2 linked regions of the Mus musculus genome follow. The protein of the gene in region 1 purifies or fractionates together with the protein of each later gene. This does not show direct contact. Links are inferred from orthologs where the notes say so. Each region holds a gene or a part of one and is shown on either strand. Other genes may lie near its edges.

Region 1 (3,568 bases):
TCCCCTTGAACTAGAGTTAAGTGTTTGAGAGCCACCATGTAGATGGTGGGCACTAATACCAAGCCCTCTGCAAGAGCAGTACACATTCTTAATGACTGAACCATTTCTCCAGCTTCATCTTCATATTTTAAATGAGAGCATTGATAAGGAGTTCACTTTAGATCTGTATAGATGATTAAATGCAGAAAGTTCTTATTAAATAAGGACCTAAGTCTGATCCTCAGAAACCACACAAAGAACCACATTACAGCACACGTGTAATCCCAGGACTGAGAAAGGGAGATAGGAGAATTCCCGAGGTTATTTAGTCAGCCAGTTTAGAGTAAACCACACGCTCCAGGCCAATGAGAGACCCTGTACAAAACAAAACCACCCGAAGCAGAATGGTGCAGGGGAATGACATCTGAGGCCATCCTCTGAACCCCCAACCTGCATGTACACACAGAGACAAAGAATTCACTTTGACCTTGGAAACAAAACGGGTGCACGCGTGCGTTCGTGCGTATAATGAATTTAAGCTTCCAGGGGTTTCTCATTAATTTGAAATAATGAAATACCCAAATTTCACTGTTATATTTTGAATTAAGTGCATGGTAATTTTACATATAAAAGTATTTTCTTTTTTTTTTTTCTAGGATTCTGTGGCAGCAGAAAGATTATGCTAATAAATATAGCAATTTAAAAATGAAAAATTCAGTAAAAAAATTTATAATATCAAAAGTACAAATATGCTGGGGGAAAAATTCCATTGGACAGGGTGAATGCTCAGTTTGCCTACCAGGTTTGGCAGGTACAGAGTCACTGGCTGCTTTGACAGTCTTGAGAGAGAGGTGTTGATTGGAGATGGACATGCTTGGTCTGCATTGCTGCTGCTTCTTCTTCTGTTGTTGCTGCTTCAAGGCCTATAAAGAAAAAACCCGACAGTAAGAACTAAGCAAACTGGGCTCGCAAGATGGCTCAGCAGTTAAGAGCAGTGACTGCTCTTCCAAAGGTCCTGAGTTCAAATCCCATCAACCACATGGTGACTCACAACCATATGTAATGAGATCTTCTGGTGTGTCTGAAGACAGCTACAGTGTACTTACATATAGTAAAGTAAATCTTAAAAAAAAGAACAACAACAACAACAACAACAACCACCAAGCAAACTGGTGAGAACCTACTCTGAAATCTACTCAGTGCAAACAAAAGCTTAAATTAAACAAAACTGGCAAGGCCTAAATGACCTTTAGAGTTCAGACACTTTGAGGGGAGGCCAAGATTAGTCTTTTATATATAGATACAAGGAAAAAATCATTAGAATTTTTCCCAAACTTAAAAACTTGGGGGGGGGGGGGAAAGGCAAGGAATTTACAATCTTCTAATGAGAGAACTGCACACGTACTTTTATCACATCTGAAAAAAGAATTGTAAGTCATGCACCAGTAACAGCTTAGTCTGACCTGAATATACGGTCAGAGGTAAATATTTGTGTTAAATTACCTTGGACAAGAGCAACATTTGTCTAAGTCTCAGTAACTTATCTTCTGGTTATTTTATACCATTTAATTTCTTAATAGAGTTAACTTGATATATTATTTAGAATAAATATTTAAAAAGAAAGAAGGCCTGTGAGATGGCTCAGTGGGTAAAGGAATCCCTCTTCAAACCTAGCTCCCAGAGTTTGATCCCTAGGACCCACGCACTGGAAGAAGAGCAATGACTCACAAAAGTTGTTATCTGACCTCTAGGTGTGTTCAAAGACTCATACATATATATACAGAGAGACATGCACACACAAACAGACCCCCCCCCCAAAAAAAAGTTCAACAACCAAAAGTTCTCTTCTTCAAATCTGAGAAAGTTGTGGCTGTGATTAACCTATGAAACTTTCGGATATAAAGTATGAAGACATGAACATACATCCATCTTTATATTCCCATAGACATTAAAGCATGTATACACACACATGCCGCATAGTGGCCATACCTCCATGCAGACACACATGCAATCAAGGGCTGGGAAGAGGCTCAGCAGTTGAAAGGATGTGCTGCTCTTTCAGAGGACAAAGGTTTAACTCCCAAATCTCATGACAGCTCATAATTGTGTGTGACCATCATGTCTGATCCTGTAAATAACTCTTAAAATAACTTTTAGTTTAAATACTTTAAAACTCACATGATTTAAAATGTTTATGGGCTCCAGGCCAGGAGTGGTGGCACACATCTTTCAGCGTAGTTTTTAGGAGGTAGAAGCAGGAGGATTTGAGTTTCAGGTCACACAGTAAAACCCACTCTCAAGATATAAAGATTATGGGTTCTAATTATAAATAAAAAACAAGAAATAAATTTTAAAAATTTAATTCAAACTTAAAGGTAAATTCTTTTTTTTGACTATCACTGAAGTGTTCTTTTACAATCCTCAAGGATAATTATGGGCAATTATCTTTATTAAAGTTTATTCTTTATCATACATTCATATCTCTACTAAATATATTAAAACTCTTACTGTACATTTTGTAAGTAGCACTATTAACTACTTATTTAAGAGCACTCATGGGAGCACTCATGTGCGTGGATGTCAGAGGGTGCTGTATCTGAGGTGGTGCTCTCCTTTATCTCGTGACTACCCAAGACAGAAGTCAGGGAACTGAGCTTGGCAGTACAGACACCTTTATCCAGTGAGTTATCTCATTGGGCCTTAGAATTTAAAAATATTTTTATTGTGAATATTCATTGAATTCAGAAGTATGTTACATAAGGACATAAGGAATCTATGTGGGTGCTGGAAATCAAGCCAGGACCCTCTAGAAAATCAGCCATTGTTCTTAACCCCTGAGCCATCTCTCCAGACCCTTAAAAGATTTTAAGACTTAATTTCAAGTGTGTCTGTGTCTAAGTATATGCTAAGTGTGGCCAGGTTTCTATAGAGGCAAAAAAGGTATCAGGCTCTGGCCTTGGAGCTGAATTGTGAGTGACCTGAGGTAGGTGCTAGAAATGAAACCCAAGTCTTCTCTAAGAAGAGGAAGCACTCTCACAGCCCAATGTGGGTCTTCTGCATGAGAGGCATGTTTTGGTAATTGTGTCATATCTAAACTACATAGTGCAAAGTTCTGCAGCATAAACTTTTAATCCTTTATAATCATACATCTTATAAATAGAAATGTCTATATAATCCCCTAATTGATTTATCTTAGGCATATGAATAATAAATACATACAAAATACACAATATATGATAAAATTTATATTAAGTTAGGCTGTTTGCTACTTCTTACTATTAACAAGCTTTTTTTGTTGTTGTGGTTTTTTTTTTGTTTTTTGTTTTTTTTGAGACAGGGTTTCTCTGTGTAGCCCTGGCTGTCCTGGAACTCACTCTGTAGACCAGGCTGGCCTCCAACTCAGAAATCCGCCTGCCTCTGCCTCCCAAGTGCTGGGATTAAAGGCGTGTGTGCCACCACGCCCAGCTTATTAACAAGCTTTTATGCAAATATTTTTCTGTATATATATATTTTAACCTAAGTCCTAAAATGCTTAATTCCATGTTCATGGTACATGTACATTTAAAATTTAATAGATAATATAAAATTT
Region 2 (3,568 bases), on another chromosome or scaffold:
CAAAACCGTGAAGCTGGGCGTGGTGGCACATGCCTTTGATCCCAGCACTTGGGGGGCAGAGGCAGGCAGATCTCTTGAGATTGAGGCCAGCCTGGTCTACAGAGTGAGTTCCAGGACAGCCAGGGCTACACAGAGAAACCGTGTCTCAAAAAACAAACAAACAAAAAAACCTGATTACTAAAGGAAAAGAATGTACTATCCTGTGACAACTGGGCACACAAGAGAAAGGCTTGTGCCTTAGGAAGAATTAAGTCCAAACCCCACAGGCAACACATTCAAGGTTAGCTGCCTAAAACTAATTACAAATACATTCTAAGTTCAAATATACACTGAATATCTCTGAAAGAACACACGAGAAATTGCTCTAATTATCTCCAAGTCTATGCAATTTCTCACTAGATCAAAAAGCAATGAATAAAAAGTGTTTATTATAATGAACTCACAAATAAAAAAAAAGCGCCATTTAGCTGAACTAAAGGTAGCCACTCAAATGAGTGCTTGCCCTGACTCAAGCTCTATACAGAACATCTAGAAAGTTAAAATAGCATTCCACAGTGATTTTTTAATCTTCTTTTTTGAAATAAAACAATAGAATTTAATTTTCAAAATTAACTTTCAAAATGATTACTAAAAAGTTATTAAGATGAAAAATGATCACAGAGTTTTGGCAAACTACTAAAATAAGCTTCAGTTTCCTAAACTATAAAATTAGAGTCAAGAGGCAGGCTTATATGTCTAATGGTTTCCAGGCTGTGCTCAATGGCTGCTTTGGGGCAAAGAAGGCCCTTTTTAGCTTTCATTTTTCATTCATGTCAACATTTGCTTTGATAATTCAACTTCAAGTTTCAACATCCACTTCTCCATTGCTAGCTAGCTATGTGATCTCAAAAACCTTACATAACCCAAAGCCTACTGGGGATTTTATATTGGCAAAACTAGAAATAATGCCATCCTCACCAAAGGATCATGGTAAAGACTCAGAGGACATTTATCTGAAGCAGCAGTGTCTGAGCTTGTAGAAGACTTTCAATAATGGCAGTTAATCATTAAGCACTTCGAGGGTGATTCCATGCTCAATGTCAACTTAACTCAAGTGCATGCCAAGACCCATCCCCCACCCCTACTACTTACCTCTTAAAAGCTTACAGCCACCTTCCCTTCATTACCATCAACAGTTTCCAGGGCAATTTTTACATCCTGTAGCTTTTTAAATTTTTCTTTTGTTTTGTTTTGTTTTACACACTATATTTTGATCTTTCACAGACTCTAATACTTGTTCTCCACGAAAACACATGTAACTTAGACTTTAAAAAAATTGAAGAGCTAATTCAAAGTCTGGTCTAGATCTGTAATTGTCTTAATTCTATTACTTGTGACTATACTGAGGGGAGGTATTCAGAACGTTTTGTAGTTACTAATATTCTAGCACCTTTAAAAAATTTTATATTACAGATTAAGACCTTTTATCCATCATTCCTAAAAATCAACTAACTGCTATAAATACCCATCAGAATTTATCCAAGTTCATTAAAACAGCACACACACACAAACCCATCACGTATGGGGCTGGAGAGATAGATGGCTCGGCGGGTAAGAACACCGACTGTTCTTCTGAAGGTCCTGAGTTCAAATCCCAGAAACCACATGGTGGCTCACAACCATCTGTAATAAGACCTGACGCCCTCTTCTGGTGTGTCTGAAGACAGCTACAGTGTCCTTAGATATAAAATAAATCTTAAAAAAAAAATCACGGGCTGGTGAGATGGCTCAGTGGGTAGGAGCACCTGACTGCTCTTCCAAAGGTCCAGAGTTCAAATCCCAGCAACCACATGGTGGCTCACAACCATCCATAACAAGATCTGACTCCCTCTTCTGGTGTGTCTGAAGACAGCTACAGTGTACTTACATAAAATAATAAATAAATCTTTAAAAAAAAAAAAAAATCACGTGTGTTAAGTTTTAATTAGCATTAGAAATAACTGGTCAGACTTTTTGGTAAGGATAATTTTTATGCTTTTGTTTTGTTTTGTTTTTTCGAGACAGGGTTTCTCTGTGTAGCCTTGGCTGTCCTGGAACTCACTTTGTAGACCAGGCTGGCCTTGAACTCAGAAATCCGCTTGCCTCTGCCTCCCAAGTGCTGGGATTAAAGGCATGCGCCACCACCGCCCGGCATTTTTATGCTTTTTAACTTCCTAAATAGAATCGATTTTTTTTTGATGTCATGCAGACTAAGTCAAAGCTATTTCATCATTTCAAGTATATAAACATCTCTCTCAACTCTTGACTTTCATGAAAAAAACCCCTATTATCTGAAGTATCAAACGATGCTTGTTTGTTTTCTGGAGTGCTGTGAAAGGAAAGCAACTAATAAACGTTTACTTACAGGATTGTACTGAAGAGCAGAGACATAGGCTTGTACTGCTCCTTCCATGTCACCTGCTGCTACCAAGGCTGCTGCCAGGTTAATATAACCATCAATGAAATCAGGCTTCAGCCGCAAGGCATGTCGATAATGCTCGATTGCTTCCTGCAACTGCCCTCTTTCCTTGTACACATTTCCCAAATTCGAATAGGCTTCTGCTAGAAGGGGATTCTGTTTAATTGCCAAGGTGCTAAAATGAGCAGATCTGGAAAAATAAAAAGTGTTGATGCATGGATATGCATGTCAGAGAAAAGGAGGCATGGCTCATATGCAATGGAAAATCTTGTGCTATGGAACATTATCCTTTAACTAGCAAACAGCAGAAAAAAGTTTGAAAACTAAAACTTTCCTAAGGTTACAGTATCCACATTTCATATAAGAAAGCTGGTTCTTATGTATGAAAATTCTTATTAAAATCTACTACCAAACTGCCACATTGTATAACATCATTAAGATTAAAAATAAAAAGCATATGAGTCTCATTTTCCATTTGTTGGCAAGATTTAAAGACACAACCCTGTTTCAGAAAAAAAAAAGATTTAAAAACACACATCTTCATGTTAAATGTGCCAAAATGATAATTTACTAAGATATCCATAGCACAAATTCTTCTCTTTTCATTAATTCAATTAATTAGCTAAAAGCAACAACAATTTAATAAGGGTATTTCCAATCTGAGCTACATATGCCCCTCCTACCAGAGTCCCTCAAGCTGACAGGTCTGGATGCTCAGATGTACACTAAGAATAATTACCTGAAAAGAATATCCTCAAGTGACAAAATCTGGGGGAAAAGACCCTAGTCATACTGATGATATGTTCACCCCCGCAAAACGGGGGAAAACTAGCAACCAGGCATGTCAAAAGTGAACAAGAGCGCACATGTTGCGTTGGTGGCTCAGATGAAACCCAGCACTGGAAAACTCTGAAGTTCAGATATTTAATTAGCATTTTTAAGCTCAGCACCAAGAGGCAGGTTACCCCGGCATCTCCTACCTGTCCAGCCTTCGACACTGGAAGTGTATAGATGAAAGTAATAAAAGAACACCAGTATTGTCAGGCTCTTGTCTCCAGAGCTGCATGCAGTGTCTCTCAGCTGCCTCAAAATCTCCTGCCTGATATTCTCGATGTGCCAACTCAGCTAACC

Evidence for each region. The genes of interacting proteins can lie anywhere in the genome.
Region 2: the proteins of Asxl2 (region 1) and Ogt purify together in Homo sapiens (affinity purification with mass spectrometry; 3 studies listed by BioGRID and IntAct, with this or other methods). This does not show direct contact. The link is inferred for Mus musculus from reciprocal best matches to the Homo sapiens genes ASXL2 and OGT.

The regions. Positions count from the first base shown.
Region 1 is NC_000078.6:3,471,824-3,475,391, reverse strand, and holds part of Asxl2 (putative Polycomb group protein ASXL2), read right to left. Parts: intron 903-3,568; coding exon 779-902; intron 1-778.
Region 2 is NC_000086.7:101,643,006-101,646,573, reverse strand, and holds part of Ogt (UDP-N-acetylglucosamine--peptide N-acetylglucosaminyltransferase 110 kDa subunit), read right to left. Parts: coding exon 3,418-3,568; intron 2,628-3,417; coding exon 2,384-2,627; intron 1-2,383. UniProt on the Homo sapiens protein: Catalyzes the transfer of a single N-acetylglucosamine from UDP-GlcNAc to a serine or threonine residue in cytoplasmic and nuclear proteins resulting in their modification with a beta-linked N-acetylglucosamine (O-GlcNAc).